Linked DNA regions of Coturnix japonica. The protein of the gene in region 4 binds, or shares a complex with, the protein of the main gene of each other region. Links are inferred from orthologs where the notes say so. Each region holds a gene or a part of one and is shown on either strand. Other genes may lie near its edges.

Region 1 (2,981 bases), on a different chromosome or scaffold from region 4:
CCCACACGACCCCCCCCCCCGGGCCGCAGCCCAGGCCCCATCCGCACCTGGATCATGTAGAGCTGCGCTACCTGGTACTCCTCCAGGCTCATGGGCAGCAGGATGTGGTACTCCTTGATCAGCATGGCGCCGTGTTTAGGGGAAGGGGCGAGGGGTGGGGGGGGCTCCGCGGCCCTCCGCCGTTAACCCGGCCCCGGCCCGGCCCGCTTCGGCCGGGCCCTCCCCACTGCCATAGCAACGCGCCCCCCGCCCGCTCGGCCGCGCTCTCGGCTCCCTTCGGCTGTTTCCGTCACCCTTCGGCTCCTTTCGGTTCCCTTCGGCTGCGCTCGGCCCCTTCCGAACCTGCGCCGCTCTGAGCCGGCCCCGCGCTGTGTGACGTCACGGCGTGGGGGGCGCCCGCTGACGTCAGGAGGTGGAACAGCGTGGGGGGGGGCGTGACGTCAGAGGGGACGTCAGAAGCGGGGGGGCGGCGGACCGGGAAATTAAAACGGAGCGGTATATATGGGGAATTGGGGGCTTGGAAGGAGGATTTCCTTTATAAGGGGGGGGATGCAGCACGTCCTTTATTTATAAAAGCCGGAAGGTTGGGGCGGGGGGAGCCCCGGGGGTGGCCCCGTTCGGGGGGAGCCACCGGCGGGGCTCGGGGGGGGGGGGGGGGTCGGGGGGCTGCTGTCACGTGCGGGCGTTGCGCTCTGTCTCGGCCAAGCACTCCCGAACCAGCGCCCGAGCGTGGATGATCCCTGAATGGGGGGGATATGAGTGAGCACTGAGCTCCGGGCTTAAGGGGGGGGGAGGGTCACAGAGGGTCGCCCCCCGGGCTCGTTACCCCGCTTGAGCCGCTCCATGGCGCTCTTGCTGCCGGCGTAGGTGGGCCGGATCTCCCTGCCCATCTCCTCGATGACAGACAGCAGGTCGCTGTAGGTGCTCTGCGAGCCCGGAGCGCCGGGCGGCTTCATGGTCTGACAGGGGATGGAAGGCGAGGAGGACGGAGGGGGGGGGGCTCAGCGTCGCCCCACGCCGCCCTCCCGCCGCGTGCCCCTGCCCCGCGGGCTCACCTGCACGTAGCCCATGGACGGCGGCCCGAAGTCGTTGAAGAGCGGGCGGAAGGCGGACGGCGAAGGGACGCTGGGAGCTGCGGGGAGCGACCCCGGGTCCGGCCCTTCCTTCGCACTGGGGCCGGGCCCGTCACCCCTCAGCCCGGCCCCGCTCGGGCCCAGCTCCGTCCGCTCCCTCCCTCAGCCCCGACTCCCCTCCGCACTCTCCGTCCCTCTCCCTTAGGCCCCGCCGCCCCTCAGGCCTCGTGCCCCTCCTTACGCCCTCTTCTCCCCCCACCCCCGCTCTATCCCCGGGGCTCCTCTCACCGGCGGCCGTGGCTGCGGGCCCCGGGGCGGGGCTGGCGCTGGGTGCGGGCGCGATGGGTTTGTAGGACATCCCGCAGCGCTCCGGGCCGAGCGGCGCCCGCCGTGTGCAGGAGACGGAAGCGAGCGGGGCGACCCCCCCCCACAACCTCCCGCTGATTGGTCAGACGGAGCGACCCGGCGGCGCCGATTGGTCGACGGCACGAAGGGAGCCGGCCTGCGCTGTCGGGGGAGCGCGGTGATGACGTCACGAGGCGCACGCCGCCGATACGCAAACATGGCGCGCCGGGCTCCCATCACCATGGAGACCAGCGGCGTCCTGCACCCCCCCATCACCCCCACCCCCACAGCGAGGGCCAGAGGCCTCCCCCGGCACTCAACGGACGGGCACACGGCACCCGGCGGCACACAGCTTCATTGCGAACCGGCAGCGCTGCCAACACACCGACACGGGGCTCCAACACCGGAGCTCCCCCCCCACACACACCATGAGGGGCAGCGCAGGCCCGGGAAGGCCGCCTCCTCCTCCTCCTCCTCCTCCTCCCGGTAAGGCACGGCGGCGAGTCCCGGCCCTTCAGCGCGACATCATCCGCACAAACTCTGCACAAAGAACCACAGCATTAACCCCAAATAAAGCCGGCAATAAGCCCCAAATACAGCTGGCAATAGGGAGGCCCCCCCATCCATGGCTCCATTGTCCCCCAGTTAAAGCTGGGATCAATAGGGCCCCCCCCCCCTCCTTCACCCTGCCCCCATTTACCTTCAAAGTCCACCAGGCCGTCCCCATTGAGATCCACGTCCTTGAGGATCTCGTCCACCTCGCGGTAGTTGAGCTGCTGGCCCAGCAGCTTCCTCATGGCCTCCCGCAGCTCCGCCATGCTGATCTGCCCGTCCCCATTGGTGTCGAACTGCCCCATAGGAGACCCAGCATCACCACTGTGCTCCCAGCACTGCACCCCCTCCCCTCCCCCAATCCCGGCCCTGCTGCCCCCAGCCCTCACCTCACGGAAGGCATCGCGCAGCTCCTTGATCCCAATCATATCCGCTGTCTCCGCCAGCATCTTGGGGCCCATCAGCTCCACAAAGTCATCAAAATCCACTTTGCCGCCTGCTGGAAGGACCAAAGGGGGATTACAAATCAGCGGGGGTGGTACCACTGTGGCAATATGGGGTTACTTCCCCCTTGTCCTGGCACCTACTGATCTGCTGGGACAGCTCAATGAGCTCCATCTCGGTGGGCATGTAGCCCATGGTGCGCATGCATTCACCCAGGTCCTTGTAGCTGATGTAGCCATCGCGGTCCTTGTCAAACTCCTTGAAGGCTTGTTTCAACTCTAGGGGCAGCACAGGGAGAATGGTGACACCTATAGACAGCCATGGGGGCACCCTACAGGTGGGGGCAGGTGAGGACGAAGGGAGCAGCACTCAGACAGGGACTGTGAGGGATAGATGCTGAGATGGGGACCAGCATGGGGAGCTGAAGAGAATGGGTGTGAAGATGGGGACTGAATGGGAAAGGTGGCACAATGGGAACTGGGATAGGGAGCCAGTGGAACAGGTGCTGATATGGGGACTGAAGAGAACAGGTGTCAAGATGGGGACAAAGCACATTAAGAACATGAG
Region 2 (4,100 bases), on a different chromosome or scaffold from region 4:
ATTCCAAGCAGTGAAGAGAAGTGAATTTCATCTACAGGTTGTGAGTCTTTCCATAATGCATTCTACATATGAACAGGCAGCATTAAATATTCTGCCTTGCTTTAAGCATACACATACCAAAGACCTTTTAGCCTCTGGAAGAAACTGTCCAAACTCAGAGAGGAGATCCTCCTGGCCTCTGAACAGATTTGCTACTTCAGTAAATACTTCTTCCTCTGACATGCCCCGAAAGGGTCGACCTTTAGTGTTAAGCTGTTCTTTCTGAAAAGATACACACAGATGTTAAACAGATACAAACACACGACTCACAGCAGCCAAAATAAAAACACAACATAAACTTCATATAACTATTAGACAGTCCAAGGCTCCTATCCCACAGGTTATCACTACATCAGCTGAAGGTTATTGAAGACAGATCCACGTACAACCCCTCTGCATCTCAGAGCCCAGGAGGTTCGACAGTTTTCACACTTCTGTCATTTCATATGAATATCTATGAGGCAGTTGTTGCACAAAGCCTGATGTCTCATTTGATAGCTGTTCAAGCAGCCACACCACAAACCCATAATCTATCTTACATTGAAGGCTTTTTACCTGATAAGTATGAAGAATTTCTAAAAAGGATCTGTAAATTTCTGGGTGGTCAAGGAAGCGCGTTTTGATCTTATTCACGTAGCTAATGGCATTATTGAACTCTACAGAATCGGACTCCAAAGGGATTTGGGATTTATCTTCTTTGTACGGAAGCTGGTGCCTAAACTCCTCAGTACAGTCACTGTGGTTGTGCGAATTCTCCTGTGAGTAATGCAACAACAGCCCGCTGCCAGGGAGGGCGCTGGGAACAGGCTCTGAGGGCACCTAGTGGCATAAGACATACAAGACAGTGACTCGTGTTGAAACACAGGTGCAACTACATCCTAGCATTGATATTTTAAATGTTTAGCTAAAACAGATTACCACATGAAGAAATAAATGTGGGGGGGAAAAAAGATTTAATTTGCTAATACATTTTCTTCCCTGTGTTATTAACACCACGAGTTAAAAACAAACAAACCCATAAGCCATATCTGACTTGGTAAACAGTCTGACTCACTGCTGCTTTTGACTGTCCCTGCATTATCCACACTTGTGAGGCTGTACCAGGTAATGTGTGCTGCAGTTCCTGTTACCACTGTTCTATGTCAGTTTTAAGAAACATTAAACTCCTGAGCAACAGAAAGATCTGAAAGATACATACTGCTACTAATCAGCATTAAACCACAACTTTATCAGCAGAATTCAGTAAGAACTCTATTTCGGCCTCCACAGCTGCACAGTAACAAGAAAAAAGGAGAGGCCAATGTGTACCCAACCATCACACACAAGATGTATTTCAGTTTTACATTGTAGCCCTTACCACATCTTAAAAACTAGGTCAGAACTTTTGCAATGTGCAATACATGCAAACGTACATAGCCTAAACAGCGCAAGAGATGTGCGAAGCAATATATTAATAGGATTTATTTGGAGTACTGTGAGCTTTATAACCTACCTGACTTGTCAGCGGTGACTGTATACTTAACTTCCCATTCTTTGGAATTTCTATTCTGTATCCCAGAGGGAGAAAAGCATTGAATCCTACAATGAGGTCGGGGTGTTCGTGGAACAGCTGTGAGACGCGTCGGATGACTCCGGGTGTGTCGATGCTAAAATTGAGAAGAATTTTGTTACTTGTGTTATGTCAGAAATACAACTTAAGGCCAAAAAACTACAGAGGTAGGTGAGAAGCCAGATGCCATTCTCATCAAAAACAAGTCTGGAATCTTCAGACCTAGGAGTGAGCCCAGGCAGAGGGAAGGAGCAGCATCCACTGCAGCCACCCACTGGGAACATTCTCCATAGAGAAGAACATGCAGGTTACCCAATATGGGCACCACACAAAGACTGAGAGCTCTCAGCAATACTCTTAAAATTCTTCATCTGTTTTTCCAAATCTGCGTTTCAGAGCAGGATGTAAAAACACACTGTTCTTTTCCCATGGATTTCTGCTCTGGAAAACAAGGAAGCAGACGGCACTGGGATGGACACCTCCTCCATCACCTCCAGCGTGGAACAACTGGGCCAGCAAGGACAGGGGAACCATGGGGTGAAGGCTGAGGAAGCCCCCAAGGTTGAGACAGCCCCGGGGCAGCCCGGGCCGGGCTTTACCTCTGGCTTTTGAACTCCTTCATGATCTCCAGGAAGCCGTTGTAGGTGGCGGGGTCACTGCCGAAGCGGATCTTCACCTGGTCCAGGTAGGAGAGCGCATCCTCCACCTGTGGGCGGGATGCTACTGAGGCCCCGGGGAGGGGGCGCACAGGCCCGGGGCGCTGCAGAGGCCTCGGCTGACACCCCCACCGCGCTGAGAGCGCCGGTGAGACGGAACAGACCCCGGGGGAACGCCGCGATACCGGAGCGGGGCTGAGGGCACCGAAACTGTGGGACCGAGGGGGGGATCAGGGGACGGGAGGATGGTGGGGGAAGGCCGCGGTAACGGGGGTGGGGAACGGGGCCGAGTGTGGGGGGGGGGAAGGCGGGGGCGCCCCGGGCTGTGGGAGCAGAGGGGCGCCCCGCGGCCCCGGGGGCGGGTTCGGCGCCGGACCGGGGCGGGGCGGGTCACGGCGGGGCGGGCAGGGCCGCTCCCCGCCGCCCTCCGCGAGGATGGGGACGAATCCCGGGGGGCCGCGCTCCGCACTCACATGCACCGGCAGCTTCTCCTGCGCCGCGGCCCGGCCGCCGCCGCCGCCGCCCCATCGCGGGGCGCTGCCCCCCCGGCCGCCGCCGCCGCCCCCCGCCGCCATGTTGGGAGTCGGAGCCGCCGCCGCCGCGCGCCCCCCGTCAGCGCGTGCGGAGCGTCTGCGTCAGCGCGCACGGCGCCACGGCCCGGCCCGGCCCGGAGCGGAACCGCCCGCACCGCGCGACGCTTCCGGCCCTTCCAGCGGCACCGGCGGGAGCGGCGGGGAAACCTGAGCGGGACGAGGGAGGGACGGGGCTGCGCGGGGTGAGCAATGCGGGACCGCTACGGGCAGCGGCGGGTGGCGGACGGACGGACGGACGGACGTTGTACGGGAGCCCGGGGCCCTCGCGGTGGCCGCTCCTATTGGGCCGCGATTAAAGGGCACAAACTGAGCTCCAGCGCCCGTTGTGGCATTTGTGGATCAAACACCGTCTTTATTTATTGTTGCTTATTCGCTGATCTTACACGCTCGTTCTGTGGTACGTGGCAGCGGTGGCTCGTGCTGTGAAGGCGAGGGGACCTGCAGGGCTACTCAACCACATCGTTCTGAAGCAGGATGAGATAAGATGGGATGGGATGAGATGAGATGGGAGGGGAGCGGCTGTTTGTGCTGTTTCAGGTTATTCATCTTGGCTTTTACAGCACCGAGCAGATGTGGGACAGCGTGTCGGTCCAGATCAGGCTCCCAGAAGGGTTTCCTTGGTCACACTGCTGTGTGCTGCACTTCCTCCTGTCCCTCCCTCTGATGTCGTTGCACAGAGCTGTGGTGGTGGTGTGCTGAGAAGAGGCTCTTGTGGGACGACAGAACCTCTCACAAATGATGCGACCCAGCCTCGTGGTGGCCACAAACCCATCTGCATTGGGGAATGATCCTACAAGCAGTGCTGTGCATGCGCTGCACCACCAGCAAGGCACCTGTGGGGCCAGGCACAGAGCAAAGGGCTTAATGTACATCCCTAACTTTGGGCTTCCCCTAATGCATGTCCCCTGCTTCCTTTCCCAGCAGACAACTGAACTCTGTTGAATTGGACCACTACTGCTACATGAGAGAGAGGGAAACCAGTATGCTATGCTGTCTGTTTCTCCATAGGACACCATAGGGATGTCTCATAGAGACCTTGGGTTGAATTTGCAATTAACTTGACTGCTATTTGAACCCTTTGCTGAGAGCTGTAGTGCTGGGATTTCAGCTTTTGGCTTTGATATTTGTAGTGGAAATGCTATGTCATGGCCTGAAACAGTGTTGGAACACCTGGTGGGAAGGCAGGGCCAACCCAGGGAGCTCAGGTGCAAGCAGTGCTGCTGAGTGATGGAGGGGTGGAGCCAGGATCCACCCCTTCCCAGC
Region 3 (4,026 bases), on a different chromosome or scaffold from region 4:
TTCCACAACATTCCTTCTCCCAACTGAGCAGTTCCTAGGGACCAGAAGTTTGCTCTAACTGAATAAGAAGAGGGAAGGGCACAGAGTAGATTACCATAACTAAAGGAATTAAAGCAGCAAGTACATTTAGCAAGTATGTTTGAGACCTGAAGATAACGTTTCAGTCCTCCAGAATAAAAAAAGTGTTCTTCTTTTCACCAGAACAGAGTACCCTACAGCTTACAGACATTAAAATACATTCATAACACAGTCGAGCAAGCCACTACTTGTCCTCCCCATAGGTAAGCCGCTACTTAGCAACTCAATTCTAATCCAGACTTGATATAGCCTTCTCTCCACCCCTTCCCTCTTTGTCAGCAGCTAGCAAGCAAGCGCCCAGCGCAGGGACAAGCAGCCAACTCCCCATCACCATCCCTTCCATCTGTGCCCCTACCTCTCCCAACCCCAGGGAGAGCCGGGCAACCCTTTCCTTTGTGGCAGGCTCAGAGAGCAGCCCAGCCATTCGCTCTCCCCTGCCGCCCCGCCCATTGCACACAGCCAGAGTCACTCCTTCTCCCTCCAAGGGAAAATGGCCTCCTGACCACAGGAGCTGGGCAGGATGGAGGCAGCCTCAGGTCAGGTAGCTGCAGCAGGCAGACAGAGCAGAAGTAAAGCCCTCGGAATTTGGGGTCTTGCAGTCCTGCCACCGTGCCAACTAATTAGCAAGTCTTTGCTCACATAGTCCTGCAACACCAGCTCATATGGGGATTCCACACCTTCTCCAGCTAATTCAGAGCTTAAGTATCCCACCCCTTCCAATGCTTTTCCCTAAAGCTTTCAGGTCTGCAGTGATTTTAACAGTTTGTTTTCCTCAACAAGGCTTCCCTCACAAGGCTTAATGACCATCTCCCCTCTACCTAAGAGGTACCAAATGCAGCTCAAGTCAATACCCTAAAAAAAAGCCAAGCCTTCCACAACATTTTGCCTCTCCACTTGTAACGTTTTCTCATTTGATATTACAACACTACAACAGGCATGTCTTGGTGGGAAAACTCAACAGGCCAACACATCAGAATACATACAACCTCTTTTTGCAAGGAAACAGAGAAGCCCGATGCTTATGGCTTCCTTAGTGCACGCATCAATAACATTCAAAACAGCAGAGTACCCAGGGCTCTAACTCCAGTCTCATGCAGATGAGGATGCAAGCAAAAGGGACAAGGCAACAAGGTAAGGTACAAAGACTATGAGAAAAGCAAAGGTGAGTAGGCAGTACAGAAAACGAGCCACCAGAAGCCTCAATAATTGGGTGTGGCAAAGAAAAAGTGGGTCATGCAAGAGCCCAGGGCAGTTTGCTCTGGACAGCAGCAAGCCTGAGATCCCAGATGAAACAGCCAGACATCCTCCCCTTTCACATACACAGCCACCTCCCCCAATCCAGGAATATGAAACTCAGACATTTTGGTCAAAATTAAGACATAACACTGACTGCTCACTCCTTCCCAGAGCATGAGCCCCCACTGACAACCTATGGTATCTCGGAACAAAGTCTGCTCCACCTGACACAAAGCCACGAGCCTCACACTTGGAACTGGGATTCCAATAGTAAAGATCAAAAACATACATTAACTCCTAGCTGAAGGGACATTCCTTCACAGAGCATTTATTCCACATATCCAGCCCAAGGAAAGCATTACCCCACCTCGCACGCTTGCCCTGCAGGCCCTCAATACCTTGATGCTGGGGGATAGCGTTGTTCAACAGGATCTCCATCTCATCGTCATCACTGCCCCCCGAGCATGGCGACGGAGATCCGATGCCCGATGCCATATCCTCTGAACCAGGGGAGGCCCAGGCTCACAGAAGTGCTGCCTTCCTGCCGGTGAAGCCAGTACTTCATTGAAAAGAATTAAGAGAAAGTTATAGCAGATGCAAAACGCGGTTTCCCAAGCAATAGTGCAACCAAAAGGATTCAGGAGAAAAAGCTTAATGATTTCATTACACCGGGAGCCGCCAGATAACATGTACTCTGGCAGCAGGTATCACATCAGAGTTGTGATGAAGCAGGCTTTAAGACAGCAGACGTTAAACTGAGTCAGCAACTCATTCCTCACAGGGAGCCAAAACAGCTGTCCTATAGGGAACATCCTCCTGCCTCCCGCAGCCGGTGCCAGACCGGAATGAGCGCCCTAGGTTATTTCTACCTTCGCCTGGGAGAAGGCGGGGAGCGGAGCCGGCCTTCCCACGGGCTCCTTGAGCCGCCCGGCGTTCCGTCAGGGCGGCGGCCGGCGGTCCCGCAAGGCGGCGGAGCCCTCCCGACCCAACTTGGCGGGCCGCCCGCCGCGCTGCCCCCGGGACCGACACAAAAGGCCCCACGGCCGCTCCCCCGCCCGGAGCGCAGCGGGGCCGCAGGGCGGGGGACGGCTCGGCGGGGGCGCGGGGCGGGGCCGGGAAAGTCCGGCCGGCGGGCGGCGGGGGTCCGGCTCTCCGCGGGGCCGGCTCCACACCGGGGCCGCACGGTAAGGCCGGGCACGGCGGGGCGGCCGCTCGTCGGGGCCGCGCCGGGAGGCGGGGCGGGCAGCGTCCCGCGGCCGCCGCGGTCCCGGGTCGAGCCGCGACCGAAAAGCGGCCGGGGGAACAGGCACCGGGGAGAGCCCGCGGGGCGGCGGGCACAACGCGAGGCACGGCGGAGAGGCCGCGCCCGCCCTCGTTCCCTCCCAGATCCTCACCCGGCTCCAGACGGCAGCTCCGCTCCGCTACCGCCGCTGCTGAAGGGAAAATGGCTCCGGCCCCGGCACCGCCTCTTAAAGGGGGGAGAGGGGAAAAAAAAAAAAAAAAAAAAAAAAAAAAGAAAAAAAAAAAAAGCAGGCTCCACCCCACTCCCGCCTCCATCCCATAATATACCCCGTGAACCTGGCAACAGACCCCGCCCCCGTATCCCCGGCAACACCCCCCCCAGCCGAGACATCCCATAATATTCACTCTCCCCTCAGAACTTCCCACTCGCCGCCCGGCCCAGCATCCCATAATACTCGCCCTCTATCCCCCCTCGGGTCCTTCTCTCCCTCCCCCCCCCCATCGGGAGCATCCCATAATACTCCCCACCTCTAACCCCTCGCTCCGGCATCCCATAATACCCACGCCGGACCCCCCCCTCCACGGACACCTCCTGGGGGTTTAAGCAGCCGATCCCCTCCACATCCCATAATAGTCACACCCCGGGCACGCATCCCATAATAGTTCTCCCCTCCCCCTGCGCGGGCAGGCATCCCATAATAGTCGCCGGGAGCCACCGGCCAGCCTGCCATCCCATAATACCCGCAGCGGGGCTCCGACACCGCCCCGCCCGCAGCGGGACGGGCCCTCGGGGGGCACCGCCATGGCCGCGGGGGGCACCGCCATGGCCTCAGAGCTCAGAGCTCACCCAGGTGTCCCAGCCCGCACGCCCGGCTCACACCGGGTACGGTCCCCCGGGTCAAGCAGCCACCGGCTGCACTGAGTGTGGGTCTCCCGGTGACCTCTGCCGCTGCTGGACCGTACGTCGGGGATGTAACGCGAGGTGCACAACGTGGTAGCGCCCTAAAGCTGTCCCCGTCCTAAAGGAATGCGGGGCATCCCTGCTCTGCGCCCTGCTGCTGCCCTACACCTGGCACCATCGCCTCGCCCGTACGCCCTAATTGCACACACGTCGCCGTGCCGTTAATGGTCACTGTATGGCACCGCTCGCCCCATGGCACCTCCGTTAGCTCGCCGGGCACCCAGCCCTGCCCACCTCAGCCCATGAACAATGGCTGTCAGTGTCTGCTGGCTCCTCCCCTGGAGCACCGCCGCAGCATCCCGCGCTGCCCATGCACACAGCCGTTCCTCCATGCACACCCTGTGCCGCTAGCACAGATGGGCTGGGCGGTGTGGAGCCCAACTGCATTGTGTTCCTTCGTGTGCTTATGGAGCCCTGCTAATACAACCCTGCCTACACAGCCCTCTGACCTCTTGCCTTACACAGGTGCCGCCCTGTCCTCTGTCCCTTTGCATTGCGTTGGTTCTCTC
Region 4 (3,500 bases):
AGATAGCTTTGAAACACGTTCTTAAAGTACTTTTTAAGCACAAGGGTAGTGAACTTCTAGATATCACTATTACAGGAGCTTGAATGAAGCTGTGGGTGACATTAGATTGAAAATTAGACATGTTCTTGGGCAGGAGATCTGTAAATGGAAGCTAAAGAGATCTCATTGCACTTTACAACTTCCTGAAGGGAAGCTGTGATGAGGAGGGGCTTGGCCTCTTCTGCCAGCCAACAAACAGGACCCGAGGAAATGGCCACAAGTTGTATCAGATGAGGTTTAGACTGAACATAAGAAGGAACTTTTTTTCTCAGAGAGTGGTCAGGCACTGGAATGGCCTGCCCAGGGAGGTGGTGGAATCACCATCCCTGGCAATGTTCAAGAGACGTCTGGATAGGGAGCTAGGAGATATATATGGTTTAGTAGTTTTCTGTAGGTATGGTAAAGGGAGGACAGTTGGACTAGATGATCTTGCAGGTCCTTTCCAACCTTGTGATTCTATGATTCTATGAAAGAACCAAGAGGTGATTCACCCTTGAAAAATATCGTATGTTGTAATTATAGATGTTGGGTAACAGGTCTTGGAAAATGGATAGGCTTGCTTTCTCCTGTAAAAGTTGTCTTCTGTTGCTACTCATGGAGACAGAATAGTGGTCGAGAGCTTTGGCCTGACTAGTGGTCACTGAAGCCTCAGGTGTTTTGTTCTCAGTCATAGACCTATTTGATCTCTCAGTTATGCCCTTTTATTTTCCATCTTTCAGGACATTGCTAATAAACAGGAATTCTAAGGAAAATCATACACTGAAATTTCTTGTGTTGTTACATAAGTTAATGTGGCTGTTAAGAAAACAATGAAATAACAGCTGTGCTGCTTTGGTTGTAGAGTAATAAATGAAGAGGGGAGTAATGCAGAATTGATCACAAAACTACCTTCAAGCAACAGTGCGTCAATAAAACCTCAAGTCGTTAATATTAGTTACAGTATTTAATGGGACTTTATCTCTTCTAATCGCATAAGGCTTATTTTTTACAAAAAACATTGGCATTTGACTGCTTGGCGGTGGAGCAGCTGAATATGCTGGTGGCAGGCAGTAGAGGGAAATAGCTGTAACTAGGAAGTAATTTTAAAAATGGAAGAAGTTGCTGGAGGCACAGGTATTTCATATTAAAGCATTCATTTTAATATGCATATATTGAGGATATAAGGAGAAGCTGAGGGAGTTGAGGTTCTGCATTCTAGAGAAGAGTAGCCTCAGGGGGAGGCCTTGTGGTGGCCTTCCAGTACCTAAAAGCGGGCTGGAGGGAAATTCTTCATCAGGGAGTATAGCAATAGGACAAGGAGTTATTAGGAAGAAGTTATTTACTGTCTGGGTGATGAGGTGCTGGAAGAGGTTGCCCAGAGAGAGGCTGTGAATGCCCCATCCCTATAAGTGTTCAAGGCAGAGTTGGATGTGGCTTTAGACAGCCTGATTTATTGGAATATGTCCCTTCCAATAGAAGTTGTAACAAGGTGATTTCTTCCAGCCAAAACTATTGTGATTGTCTCTACCATCTAATAAAAGCAATATGGTTTTTCTGTGGTCTGGTTTTGAATACTGGTTTTAAATCTTGTATGTGAAGGAAGTAAACTTCAAACCAGATATGGGTTATATCACTGCAAGAAGCTGTTCTATTTGGTATCTTGTTAAGAGAGAAAGATCTTAGCACACAGGAAACTGTGGCTGCTCTGTAGTTTATAGCACTGAAAAATTTGGTGAAAGTGTCTTCTGATGGTGATAGACTTTATTCTTTACTGAACAGCACAGGATTTAAGGGTCGTTTACTGTAGTTTTTAGTGCTCTTGCCATGAAGCAGCTTTCTTTATTCCTCTCAAATAAAATGATCAGAAACTTGCACTATTCAAAGAACTGTTAAGCCATACTGTGGTTTTATGTTAATGGTAAGTACAGTTGGAAACAAGAACATGCTTATATCTTTTAGTCTTTGCAGAGGTGAAAAAGGAGATTTGATGGAAAATAAGTCTGCAAAAAATGATATTTTAATATTTATGGAATATGGATTATACCTGCTCCTGGCACTGGTTCTTCAAAAATTCTTGAAAGGCATACACTTCAAGTTGTTTCATTACAGAATGTTTTGGCAATCATTGAGAAACTAGACAAAAGTGTACCATGAAAGGGGTAAATTCAAAGGATCTGGACAACAGAAATTGGTATGAACAGGATTAAAAGGTAAAACTACTCCTGACTAGGACAACTCAGTTAAATATTGAATGCGTTGCGTGATAAAAATCTCTTTAAGATGAGCTTATTTTTACCATCATCCAAACTGTACTGATAATTCTGAGATTTATGGTAACTTCAAAATTATAAACTTTATCATAATCTGTGATTTATTTCTATTTTTCTTTGGTAGGTATTGATATCTTATGGACATAACAGAAGATTGTGATTTCACATGTGTAATTTTCTTTCTAGGTATCACCAAAGAGTGTTGTATATTGATATTGATATCCATCACGGAGATGGTGTGGAGGAAGCTTTCTATACCACAGACCGTGTCATGACTGTGTCCTTCCATAAGTATGGTGAATATTTTCCAGGCACGGGGGATCTTAGGGTAAGATTGAGCATGACATTTCATTGTGATAAATTCCTTCTTATGCACTTCCGTGTGGATTGTACTGCTTTCACAATTATACTCCATAATAACATGTATTTTCTGTAAAGTTACCATGTTTGTCTGGATTAATAGTTGTGTTGAGGAACCTTAGGAAGAAATACTGGAAGCAATTATGCTTCCCTCTAGATAAGTTAAGCCAACACTTTGACTTCTGGATATATTGTCTGAGCAGTGTGCTGCACTTGTAATTACAGTCAGTACCTTTCAGTTCTGCAGATATAGAGAAAAGTAGGTCTTTGTACATCACAGGGTTTCAAATCTTAATTCAGATCTTAAAATAAATGTATACAATAGTTTTAGTAGTCACAGTATTTTTCATGCAACTTTACTGTGTTAGATTTGCTTAGTAATACAGTTGTTTTTGTTTTTTTTCTTGTTATTTCTTACGTTAATAAGGTACATTTTGAATTCTAATGCTTCCCACTGCTGTAAAACATCAGCATGCTCCACAGGTGATTTACTAACAGTACATTTAACTTGAAGAAGGGAACAACAGACTGTGAAGCATTATTATCTAAGTTGCTGGTGGATCTCAGTCACAGCTGAGAATGGAAAATAATTTGCCTGGCTCTTAAGATTTTTATTTTTTAAAGTAAGTTAAGCCATTCCTTCTATTAGACTCTGTCTCATCAGGACAGGAAGTTGTTCCACTTTGCAAATTGAAATATCATTTCACATATGAAGATTAATATATTCTTCACTTGATACTCTTGCTTTCAGCTTCTCTGTGACAGCACTCCAAGGATAAATCAATTCCTTGTTAACAGCTTTGTTACATTAGTTTGTACATGCACTTATTATATTGGTAAAGTAATAAAAAC
Region 5 (4,142 bases), on a different chromosome or scaffold from region 4:
GCGCTCAGTGATAGCCCAAGGAATGGAACAACAAAAGGGAGAAGGAATAACCAGAGCTGCACCTTCTGCTTCTGTCCTGAAGGGTGACTAGTTAACCAAAGAATTTCTGTAATTATCACTTAACCAACTTGAGTCCAGCCAAACCTCTCTGCATGGCTGATTTACATGAGCATTTCCCACTGGCTACAAGAATCTTGCCAAATTAAGTCATGAATCATAGCCAGATTTCACCGTGCACAGAACGGACCCATTTACAGTTAGGATGAGCCAGGATTCGGAGTCAATTAAACTTTGCAGCGTTAGTCACAGCCCTTCCATCTGAAAACCCAAGCGTGAAGCCTCTGCAAGAGAAGGCTTGGGATGCATCTGTAAGCAAACAATCGAGTTTAAAGCAACTACATTTAACATAAGGGGAAAAAACACTTAAATTTAAGCCCAGAGAAGGTTGGAGGGAAAATAAAGTCGGTGTCATTTTAGTAAGTGCAGAGGATGTGCCCAACCACCAGCAGCACTTCCTCAGGGCAGGAGGGATGATGTCATGGCTGCTCGCTACAGCATTGTTGGGCTGGTCTGGCTGTGTGCTGCTAACGGGACACTCCCTGCACAACTGCGACCGCACACACTCAGCTCTCCCGGTATCAGCAATCAGTTTAATAAGTGTTCAGAGACTTGAAGTTAGCAGAGAAACGAGGCATAACCACCGTGCAAAGGGGAGTGTGTGTGGGGGGGGGAAATAGGGGGAAAAATATATCTATATAGAGACAGATGTAATGGGGTAGCACACAGAAAGCTCCAAAGCATGAAAGAGAGAAAGGAATGTGGTTAAAAAATCTCCCCTAAGGAAGAATACTTGGTACGCCTGAGCTCCAGCTGTTTGACTCGCCCCGCTCCCTCCTCCACTCCATTATCCACTCTGGCTGTGCTAATTTAACCCTCAGCCTGTGTCAACTGTTGAGCGAGCAGAACAAGCACTGCAGCCCCCATTGCATCTCCTGGTGCACGGCTCTGCTGGGCAAAGTTGAGGCTTGGCTTTGTGCTGTGTGTATGGGAAGGGCCGAGGTGAGGCCCCACAGCCCTCCCTGCTGCAGCCTCCACCGAACAGAGTCACGGCCGCCTCCTCCTCCCCACGAACCTCCAGCTCCAGATTTGCATGCAAAAAGATCTGCTTTTATCAACCAAGCTGCACAACTCCAAGCAAGAAAGCCCGGCTAACCCGAAATTCACAGCACACGGATAACATAAGTATGTCTATGGAATCAGGAGGGAAGGAAAAAGGAGGGAAAGAAATAAGCCGAGCCAATCTATAAAGTCCGGAGCCCTGAATTACTGCAGGGAAGGTATTTTCACCACTGAGATACTCAGGAAGAGCTGCAAGGCTTTGGAAGTCACATATGCAGCCAAAATGGCGCTGAGAATAAAAATATAATTTAAAGGAAGGTCGCCATATTGTAAACAGTGAGGCAGGGAGACACAGAGACAGCAACCTCCATTATTCCCAGCAGCCGCTGCAGCACGGAAGCACCGGGATGGCCGGGCCCAGAGCAGGGATAGCACTGAGAATCCCCTCAAGGATGAGACTGGGGGGAGGTGAATCCCTCCTGGGGAGGACGGGGATGTGTTTGGAGGAGAGAGGAGGGGAAGTCGGGCGCAGGCGGGGAGGAAGGCAGCGGGCAGACTGAGGCCTGGCTTCTCCTTTAGGCCTCTGGGCACAGAAAGAAAGGAGGGCCTGGGGTCAGCGTGCCCACGCCACCAAGGCGTCCGGATGAGGTTTTAGGTGCGGATCGGTGGCTTTGAAAGGGGGGAAGCGGTGGGCACGGAGCACAGCGGGGCTCACAGCTCTGTCTGCTTCCCCCGCTCCCAGGCAGGCAATTAACGGGGGCCCCAATGCAGGGACACAGACCCGGAGGGCGGGAGCACGGAGCCTTACCAGCACTGGAGGTGGAAAGCAGCGGGGCAGTGATCGCAGCACAGCAGATCCCCTCCTTCCTTGCAGCTATCGCAGCTGTCGTGGTTAGTGGCCCTGCCACTTCTCCTGGGCTCCTTCTCAGGCCTCCTGCTCCTCTTCTCCCCATCTTCGCTCTTAGGGGGAGCCAGCAGGGCCTGGATTTGCTGCGGACACGCACACACACACACAGGGCTCTAAGGGCCGCCCGCACTCTGACCCCCCACCGCCCCCCATAGCGCACGGCTCGGTGGGGCCGGGATAAGGCCGAGCCCGCCCCGTCCGTGCCCGGGAGGGCCCCCACCGGGGATTGGGCGAGCGGCCTCACTTCCTTCTATGGCCACGGGGCTCGGGGCCGGGGGGGGGGATGGTGAAAAAGAGGGGGGGGCTGGGGGGGTCCCCTCGCCATTTTGCAGCCCCACCGCCCCCGCCGCCCCCTCACCTCCATCAGCCCCCCGGAGGTGTCCAGGTCGTACACGATCGTCTTGGTCTCCATCTTCTCCCACATTCATCCAGCCTGGGGGGGGGGGGGCGGCCCCGAGAGACCCCCCCCCCACCACCACCCCACAGCGAGGGAGCGGACGGAGGGACGGGGACAGGCGGCGGCGGGAGCGGGAGCCCCACTGGGCGGCCTTCAAACGGAGCGGGCTGCGGCGAGGCCTAACCCACGGGCCGCTGCGCTGCTCGGCCGGGACTCCTCCACCTCCTGCCGCCGGGCCCGGGGGAGGCTGCGGGGTGCCCCGCTCCCGCTGCCATGCCGCACACAGGAGGGCCGGGGCCGGCCCCGCTCTGCCGCCTCACAGCGCTGTGCCCGCTCCGCCCGCCCCGCCGCCCTGCTCTCCTCTCTCTCTCTCTCTCTCTCTCTCTCTCAGGTCCCTCCGTCGCCGCCGCCGCCGCGCCGCCCGCGCACGCGCAGACCGCGCCCCGCCGCCCGCCTCCCACTGCGCACGCGCAGCCGCCCATCCCCCGCTTTCGGCTCAGGCGGCGCGCGCGCCGGGGCACCGCGCATGCGCGAGTTTTTGGCTCCGCCTCCCGCGCCCGGCTCGCCCCGCGCCTCCCTCGCGCATGCGCATCGGGCGCGTGGAGACCGTCACGTTCCGGGGTGGGGTGAGACAGAGAGAGAGCGGCGTGATGACGTCATGACGCACAGCGGGGCGTTTGGCGCGCCGGCGCGCTCCCTCCAGCTCCGCGCGCCGTCGCCTCTTAAAGCTACAGTGCACCCGGAAAGAGGGGAGGGGGGGGTGCACGTCGGTGGATGCAGGGGGTCCCCTCTGCCCCAAATCCCCGCGTACCCCGATGTCCCCTCATCAACAACATGCCACGTTTTCTTCTAAAACACCATTTTTGTTTTATTATTAATGAAACAACCAAAAGATGGGCGCAGGGGGAGGGGCTGCTCTCCAAAACAGGGTTACGCGCGGCTGGGGAATGGGACCCTATGTTACATCGGCCGGGGACAGAACCCCCAGCCCCAGCCGTGACCTGGTCCGGGGGGGGGGAGGACGACAAAGCCATGCTCAGTGCCCCCCCCCGCCCACCCCGTCACCGTGGGGCTGGGGGTCCGGATCCGGCCCTCGTGGGATGCCGGGACGTGCAGGGATGGGGGGCACCCCCCCCGGGGAGGAGGAAGCGAGCAGGTGCTGCGGGGGCAGCGGAGGGACGCAGCATGCTTGGGGTAACGGGAATGGCTCTGGGAGACATCGGGGTGCTGGGGGTGGGCGGAGGGTGAGGGCACCCCGAGGTTTCCTTAACCCCCCCAGGGCGCCCCATTGCCCCCCATCCCGCGACCTGGCCCCTTTTCCCCCCAGCACCTTCAGGCTGCAGCCCCGGGGGCTCCTCACTGCGCCTGCCCCATCTAGGGGTCACTCCTCCATCGCTGGGGCCGGGGAGGGGACTGCTGCTCCTGGGAGGGGGGTCAGGATGTGGCCCAGGGAGTCCTGCTGGCTCAGCGTCCCGTGCCCAACCAGAGCAGGGATCGGGGGGCAGTGGGGCTGGGGGAGACCCCACGGGGGTCCAGGCGGGTTGGGGTGTGTGTGGGGTGGCTCCCGCTTGAATGTCCTTGCGAGAGATGTCCCCGGCACCATGGCGAGGGCCGGTGGGCGTGGGCATCCTGGGAGGGGTCTGCTGCACCCTCGCCTAGATGGACACCTCATATTCCCTCGTTTCCTGCAAAGAAAACAGACTGCGAGGGGTTGGACAC
Region 6 (2,183 bases), on a different chromosome or scaffold from region 4:
GTGAGTTCCTTAACGGTGCTAACATTGCCTGTAGCATCCAGAGGGGGCTCTGTTAACTGGTGCACGGATGGTGCATGGATTTTCACTTCCAGGGTTTCTGCCTTTTCAGCTGCATCACTGGAGCCCTCAGGAAGCAATAGAGGCTATTGCCAAGATCCGTCCCCACATCCTCATTCGGCGTAAACAAGTCCAGGTCCTGGAGAGTTTTCACAAGGATGTTACTGCTGGGACAGCTGCATAGTGTTGGTGAGAACTACCAGAATCTCAGTCTCAGCTCCTTTAAGTGTTGTACTTTTCAATGTTCAATAAAGATATTTTTACATAAGTTATGGTAAAAGGAGAGTTTGGGCTGTTTCATTACAACTTTTTTTCCTTATGGCCACTTATTTCTTGGAGCACTATCATTCTCACTCACACACAAGCGATGGGCTGAACCACGATCCATGGAAGGCTCTGTAATACTGTACTGTACTGTAATACTTGCAGCCAAGAAAAGAAAACTTTGTCTCAGCAGAGACTTTATTCAGATTCTTACCCAAGGGGTTACAGTGCCAATAGAGAGGGGTAGGAGGAAGTGGTCTTAATTCCATCTTTTACCAACAGTATGTTATGATTACAGGTGGGGGTTTCCTGTACAGTAAAGGAAGCCAATGCTCATAAGAACAATCTCCTTTATGCTTGGTGATGACAGAGCAACAAGCAAACTCCCAGTCTGTTACCACTCCTCTAGGAGAAGTGCTGAATAACGCAACCTACTTGGGGTCAGCTCTGGAATCTGTCTGCTGTAACTTTCTGCCAGTCTCTCCTGCAACAGGGACACAGGAACGTTTAAGTGGGGACATCCCTGGAGGACAGACAGCACAAATCTAACTCTGCGACTGACAGCCGCAGCAACACGTATTCTCCCAGGCAGTTAAAACTTACCGTCTGTGCCAAGGATGATGTCCTCCATATGCTATAGGATTTGTGGACGGGTTCCAAGCTAAAAAAGCTACTTGCTGTGGTTTGGGCCTCAAACACAAGCAGCTTATCGTCAAGGGATCACAGTAATAGCATTTAGTCCATCTGAAATCTAAGATGCATCAGTTCAGCTTTAATAGTGCTATCTAAAAGAACAGGCCTGTACTTCCTCTGTGCAGATGGGCTCTTTACTGGATGCTGTGAGCTTGTAGTAATTGGGACTGGTGCTGAGGGTGGTGGGTACGTCTGATCTGTGCAGCAAAACACCATTGCTGCCTGTCTTACTACTGGGCCTGTTCTTCCCCATTAGGCCAGGACAAACTGCAGGTTAGTGAGCAGCACTTTGATGCCACTTGTGACTGTTACAACAGAGGTGGCTGGGTTAAGTTTAAAAGTATTTGCATCGCCCTTTTTATAGCGGTCTCGAAAAACGTAGATGCTGCCATTGCAGCTGGCAATCTTCCACAGGGACGGTACTGAGCTCCAGGCATCTGGCAGGCACAGCCGAGTGAAGCTATCCAGTAAGGGATTATAGCAAAGCAGCGAGTCCCCCTCAGCTACAATGAACACCACATCCTTGTGGACAGCAGCATGCATGCGCCCTGCAAAAGGCAGTACGTATGGTTTCACGTGGCATTTCTCCGTGTTGGTATCATAGCACTGTATAAGCCTAGAAGGCTTGGTGAAGAAGTCCAAGTCATTTTCTTCCCCGCCCAGCAGGTAAATGACACCGTTAAGATTTACACCTGCAGCCCCAGAGACAGCCACCTCCAGTTGGCTGGTCTCTGTCCAGACATTGTCTCGCACTCTGTAATATATGACAGCATTAGAGAGAGTGTCTTGCAGAGTTTTGCCCCCAAGGGAGTATATTGCATCCTTGCTTGGCACGGAGACAAGAGTGTGCTGAAGCCGGTCACGGGGCAGAGGGGCACACCATTCCCAGTCTATAGTTGCATTGTTGCATTTCCACATGCGTCGTGGAATGGAGCCACCGACAACGTATAGGTCACTACCATGTTTGCAGGCAGCTGTAATCTGGTGACACAGGCTGTTCTGGCCACTCACACTGATGGAGTCATCATCAGCACAATGCAGAGAGACAGCGAGTGAATGTGTTCGTGATGACTCCTTTCCAATCAGGTAGATGTGAACATTTTCTCCGATCACCTAAGAAACAAGGAATTTATCAGTCTTAGCAGAACTAGACCTTTTTACACGAACAT
Region 7 (3,500 bases), on a different chromosome or scaffold from region 4:
GGTCATTCTTAGAGTATTTTATGTGGCCTGCCTACACCTCTTTGCTAAGACTCTGCTAGGCTGACGCTCTAAAACTGTTTTCTATCCTGACAGCAATTTTCTGAACTCCATTTTTGCTTGTTCACTGTAGGTTTGGAAGGAAAGACACACAAGTGTCACTTCACGTGGTGATGAGCTTCCAAAGAAATAATAATGTGCTGCTACAAAGCTTTATCTCATCATCTGGGATCTGGCACGCAGAATTTCTTTTACTTTCTGAGGGGTTTAATTGGACTCCTGTTAATAATAAACAAATGGGAACAAGGCTGGTAATGCTCTTAGTTCCAATTTTCTTAGTAAATGAATAAAATCAGTGAATATACCAAGTTCAAATAATGAAAACCTGCTAGGGCAATTTAATTTTTGTTTCTAATATCTCTGGACTTATCTGAATATTTGCATATAGCAGGCATTGCATGGCAGGTGTCTGTAAAATGTTTGCACGTAAGTTTCTCAGTATGACCCTCAGTTTGGAATACAAATGAGGACTGGGGGAAGTTTGAAGTATGTACAGCACATTTTGGGAGCAGCATCTGGAAGAAGATAAATATTAGGGACGCTGCTATTCAGTGTTGTTCCAGATGTTACGAGTGAGAGGCATTGTGATCTCAATTGTGATCTCCCCTGAACTTTGATGCCATGATAGGCAGTCCATGCAATTTGATGCACACAATGAATTCTGATGGTGCTGCTGAAGCGGTGAAATCATTCTTCCAGTACTCTGCAGGACAGTCAGTTGGCTGAGCTGTCTGATGTTCCCTTGTCCTTTGTTCTGTCTTTGAGAGATCTCTGAAATGCTGAAATAGCACCTCTACAAGCATTTGGGAAATACGAAGCATTGGTGAATGTTCCTGGGTAATGATGGCTAGGAGTGCTTTAAGATGCTTGTTTTTTGGAACTACTCATGGCCTGTCTTCTGTAGATTTGAGTTGAATTAATCCCCAAAAAGAGAACACCACCCTTTGTTCCACAGGAATCTTGAAGCATCAGTATTATGGTGGTAAATAATCTCCTTTTGTTGTTTTCTAAATTCTTTGTAGGCCCCTGAGTGTTTGTGGATCTGAACTTACTGTACTTCTGGCTTTCAATTCGTTCAGTACTTTCATTTTTATGTTTGCAATAATTTGTGTTCTTCTTGCAGGAAAACAAAAAAGAACAAGCAGAAAAGTAAGTACATCTTTATTGTGTGTGTAAGTGGATATACTTTGTTAGGGAAGGATTCTTAGCTGGAATAAGACCTTAAATCTGCCCCCACTGAGTTTAGTTCCTGTCAACTTATGGTGCTTCTCCTGGACTTCAGGTGTCTCTTCTGTATTATTTGCTAGTTAATAAAACAGGACTGTATAATTTGCTGCTTTGTACATGGACTCTTCCAGTCTGTCATGATTTAGACCCCTTGGAAATAGAATGGTATTCCCATTGATCTGCTGAAATAATTCTCACTATTAAGTCAAACCTCAGTTTTCATACTGGGATGGGACATGTCTGCATAGCTGAGTTGTTGGTTCCAAAAGTTCCTTTTTTTTTATTGCTATTTCTTATGGCCTTACCAGACTTCTTACACAGCACACTGTTTCTCTTCTGTACAGCTCCTGGAATTGGAGAAGGGAGCAGCAGCAGTGAGACTCCTCAGCCTCCTAGGAAGAAAAGGGCACGAGTAGATCCAACAGTGGAAAGTGTATGTGTGTATGATTCTCCTACAGGATTTTTGATGGGGAACAGAAGAGCTGCTTTGCTCAGAAACACAGACAGCAGTGCTTTATCCTGCAGTATGGCGGTGTGAATTGTTACAGCTTCTTGAAATGCTAGGCCTGCCAGGTGGCCTTAAAACCTGAGCTATTTCCCTGCTCCCCCAAGAGATGACTTAGCAGTTCTTTACTCCTGTAGTGTATTTCCTTTGTGGAAAGGATGGGATGAGTGCCTTATCTCAATTGGTTATCTGAAAGTAATTAGTGTGAATCCACTTTCTTTTTTCCCCAGGAAGAAACATTTATGAACAGAGTTGAAGTAAAGGTGAAAATCCCAGAAGAGTTGAAACCGTGGCTGGTAGATGACTGGGACTTGATCACCAGGCAAAAACAGGTAATTTTAGAATTCATATCTCACTTGAGTGCAGTGCAGCAAAATCCCTCATAGAGTTTGACAGAAGCCTTACTTGACAGTTCTGGTTGCAATTGGATTTTACCTGAAGGTCATCTGTGAGTTGGACTGTGCAGCAGAATTGTGTGCAAGTTTGTAGACTGTAATCAGTCTAATTGGGCATAAGCTCAATGTCAAGTAATTACAAGTTTTGTGATGTTCCTCTAAGCGTGTTTGGCCTATTGGAATGCCTTGAAAAGTTTGCTTAGGTGACAGAATTAGTCTGTATGAGCATTACAGGTGATGTTCTGTCCTGTCTTGTTTATGCATCACTCATTCAGAAAGCAACTGAAGCATCTACAGCTCTGACTAAATATGGTCTTAGAATAGTGATTTTTAGCTGTGCTGCCAAGCTGGATCTGTATAAAGACTCCTGATAGAGCAGTTTTGCCTAAAATAAACTGTCTTCCATTGTAAGAAATGTAATATTTTTTCAGGAGCTTGTTAGTAAGTGAAATGACTTTGCATTCTTCTTGCCAGTTGTACTAAGTGTTGCTGAAAACTGTTCATTATTATTGGTCCCAGCAGGTGCCCAGCAGGTTTGTTTGCTACCAGTCCTGGGTGCTGAACTGGATGCAGGAAGCAAAGCAAGAAAAATAGTAGTCCAGGCTGCTGCTGCTTGTACAGGCGTGGTCTGTGGCCTGGTGTAGGCAGGTGTGCTGACATCTGTCTGCTTTGCTGCTTACCTTTGATTCTTGGGTTGCTTTAATAGTTCATCTTCAGGTTGATTTTAAGTTGCAGAAATGCAAAATGAGAACATGAATGTGGCTGCTGTTAGGTGTCTTGATGTGTACCACTGAACCAGCTGGAGTTTTAGCAATGCTTTACACACTGACTTGTTAATTTTATTCCAGAATATCTGTATGTCTATCAGTTTAAGTTTGTCAGTTTGTATTTTCGGTTTTGTGTCTTCCACAGCTCTTCTATCTTCCTGCCAAGAAGAACGTTGACTCTATTTTAGAGGATTACGCAAACTACAAGAAATCTCGAGGAAATACTGATAACAAGTAAGTAGCAGTCAGTTCAGATCTCAGTTCAGATCTCAGTGTTGTCTCGTTGTTGTTGGATGTCTCGTTCATGAAGAAACTTGCAGAGTTGTTAATCATACCTCAGTGCTGTGCTCAGCCTGGTATTTGAGACCTAGGTGGTCCAGGCCTTCAAGGACACCATTCAAGAACACAGTCCTACATCCAGAACATTTGCTCTCTCCCTGCGTTCTGCCCCTTCCCTGGCACTTTTTCCTAAAGGAAGCTGTTGAAGCCACCTCGGTGGTTCTCTACCCATTGTCACCCAGTGAACAGGAGTCTACTGTTGCTTTGAAT

Evidence for each region.
Region 1: HDAC2 (region 4) and CDK2AP2 share a complex: the UniProt entries of both Homo sapiens proteins name them as parts of the nucleosome remodeling and deacetylase (NuRD) repressor complex. The link is inferred for Coturnix japonica from reciprocal best matches to the Homo sapiens genes HDAC2 and CDK2AP2.
Region 2: the proteins of HDAC2 (region 4) and SIN3B are in contact, whole or in part, in a cryo-EM structure (PDB 8BPB), measured with the Homo sapiens proteins. The link is inferred for Coturnix japonica from reciprocal best matches to the Homo sapiens genes HDAC2 and SIN3B. Residues at the interface, in NP_001518.3 of Homo sapiens: Lys9, Asp19, Gly21, Asn22, Tyr23, Tyr24, Gln27, Gly28, Pro30, Lys32, His34, Arg37, Tyr46, Gly47, Arg50, Lys51, Lys59, Thr66, Lys67, Tyr68, His69, Ser70, Asp71, Asp100, Asp105, Gly106, Glu109, His142, Lys144, Lys145; in NP_056075.1 of Homo sapiens: Ile397, Gly398, Ser399, Ser400, Tyr401, Pro411, Lys412, Cys413, Ser414, Gly415, Arg416, Thr417, Ile419, Cys420, Glu422, Val455, Leu456, Asn457, Trp460, Val461, Ser462, Phe463, Pro464, Ser465, Trp466, Ser467, Glu468, Asp469, Phe472, Lys476.
Region 3: HDAC2 (region 4) and CHD4 share a complex: the UniProt entries of both Homo sapiens proteins name them as parts of the nucleosome remodeling and deacetylase (NuRD) repressor complex. The link is inferred for Coturnix japonica from reciprocal best matches to the Homo sapiens genes HDAC2 and CHD4.
Region 5: the proteins of HDAC2 (region 4) and PHF12 are in contact, whole or in part, in a cryo-EM structure (PDB 8BPB), measured with the Homo sapiens proteins. The link is inferred for Coturnix japonica from reciprocal best matches to the Homo sapiens genes HDAC2 and PHF12. Residues at the interface, in NP_001518.3 of Homo sapiens: Gln27, Tyr202, Gly203, Leu212, Arg213, Pro228, Met229, Arg230, Thr356, Glu358, Tyr359, Lys362, Ile363, Arg366; in NP_001028733.1 of Homo sapiens: Met21, Gln25, Met298, Asp299, Cys300, Leu301, Glu302, Pro303, Pro304, Leu305, Thr306, Ala307.
Region 6: the proteins of HDAC2 (region 4) and KBTBD4 are in contact, whole or in part, in a cryo-EM structure (PDB 9GGM), measured with the Homo sapiens proteins. The link is inferred for Coturnix japonica from reciprocal best matches to the Homo sapiens genes HDAC2 and KBTBD4. Residues at the interface, in NP_001518.3 of Homo sapiens: Gln27, Gly28, His29, Pro30, Asp100, His142, Gly150, Phe151, His179, Lys201, Gly203, Glu204, Tyr205, Phe206, Gly208, Asp231, Gly269, Asp270, Arg271, Leu272, Gly273, Cys274, Tyr304, Arg307, Asn350, Met351, Thr352, Gln354; in NP_060565.4 of Homo sapiens: Cys290, His291, Ser309, Arg312, Arg313, Trp326, Pro329, Pro331, Arg332, Asp333, Arg334, Thr355, Gln357, Ser361, Ala363, Val373, Trp374, Thr375, Glu376.
Region 7: the proteins of HDAC2 (region 4) and MORF4L1 are in contact, whole or in part, in a cryo-EM structure (PDB 8C60), measured with the Homo sapiens proteins. The link is inferred for Coturnix japonica from reciprocal best matches to the Homo sapiens genes HDAC2 and MORF4L1. Residues at the interface, in NP_001518.3 of Homo sapiens: Gln93, Arg94, Asn96, Ser146, Glu147; in NP_996670.1 of Homo sapiens: Pro355, Glu356, Arg359, Lys360.

The regions. Positions count from the first base shown.
Region 1 is NC_029520.1:566,350-569,330, reverse strand, and holds CDK2AP2 (cyclin-dependent kinase 2-associated protein 2), read right to left. Parts: upstream 1,560-2,981; 5' UTR 1,432-1,559; coding exon 1,362-1,431; intron 1,171-1,361; exon of another isoform or gene 1,133-1,170; coding exon 1,056-1,132; intron 960-1,055; coding exon 827-959; intron 741-826; coding exon 673-740; 3' UTR 501-672; downstream 1-500. Other genes in the region: PITPNM1 (membrane-associated phosphatidylinositol transfer protein 1), read right to left, coding at 48-125; CABP2 (calcium-binding protein 2), read right to left, coding at 1,933-1,958, 2,119-2,266, 2,360-2,469, 2,558-2,692. UniProt on the Homo sapiens protein: Acts as a component of the histone deacetylase NuRD complex which participates in the remodeling of chromatin.
Region 2 is NC_029543.1:3,324,330-3,328,429, forward strand, and holds the start of SIN3B (paired amphipathic helix protein Sin3b), read right to left. Parts: upstream 2,801-4,100; 5' UTR 2,718-2,800; intron 2,295-2,717; 5' UTR 2,211-2,294; coding exon 2,188-2,210; intron 1,686-2,187; coding exon 1,532-1,685; intron 859-1,531; coding exon 595-858; intron 262-594; coding exon 118-261; intron 1-117.
Region 3 is NC_029516.1:69,352,268-69,356,293, forward strand, and holds the start of CHD4 (chromodomain-helicase-DNA-binding protein 4), read right to left. Parts: upstream 2,801-4,026; 5' UTR 2,709-2,800; intron 1,874-2,708; 5' UTR 1,810-1,873; coding exon 1,713-1,809; intron 1-1,712. UniProt on the Homo sapiens protein: ATP-dependent chromatin-remodeling factor that binds and distorts nucleosomal DNA. Acts as a component of the histone deacetylase NuRD complex which participates in the remodeling of chromatin.
Region 4 is NC_029518.1:58,978,486-58,981,985, forward strand, and holds part of HDAC2 (histone deacetylase 2), read left to right. Parts: intron 1-2,474; coding exon 2,475-2,616; intron 2,617-3,500. UniProt on the Homo sapiens protein: Histone deacetylase that catalyzes the deacetylation of lysine residues on the N-terminal part of the core histones (H2A, H2B, H3 and H4).
Region 5 is NC_029534.1:4,690,379-4,694,520, forward strand, and holds the start of PHF12 (PHD finger protein 12), read right to left. Parts: upstream 2,801-4,142; 5' UTR 2,451-2,800; coding exon 2,385-2,450; intron 2,110-2,384; coding exon 1,928-2,109; intron 1-1,927. Other genes in the region: SEZ6 (seizure protein 6 homolog), read right to left, coding at 4,092-4,124.
Region 6 is NC_029520.1:20,340,139-20,342,321, reverse strand, and holds the end of KBTBD4 (kelch repeat and BTB domain-containing protein 4), read right to left. Parts: intron 2,128-2,183; coding exon 1,267-2,127; 3' UTR 501-1,266; downstream 1-500. Other genes in the region: PTPMT1 (phosphatidylglycerophosphatase and protein-tyrosine phosphatase 1), read left to right, coding at 110-241. UniProt on the Homo sapiens protein: Substrate-specific adapter of a BCR (BTB-CUL3-RBX1) E3 ubiquitin ligase complex which targets CoREST corepressor complex components RCOR1, KDM1A/LSD1 and HDAC2 for proteasomal degradation.
Region 7 is NC_029525.1:17,834,149-17,837,648, reverse strand, and holds part of MORF4L1 (mortality factor 4-like protein 1), read left to right. Parts: intron 1-1,180; coding exon 1,181-1,206; intron 1,207-1,628; coding exon 1,629-1,717; intron 1,718-2,019; coding exon 2,020-2,121; intron 2,122-3,096; coding exon 3,097-3,185; intron 3,186-3,500. UniProt on the Homo sapiens protein: Component of the NuA4 histone acetyltransferase (HAT) complex which is involved in transcriptional activation of select genes principally by acetylation of nucleosomal histones H4 and H2A.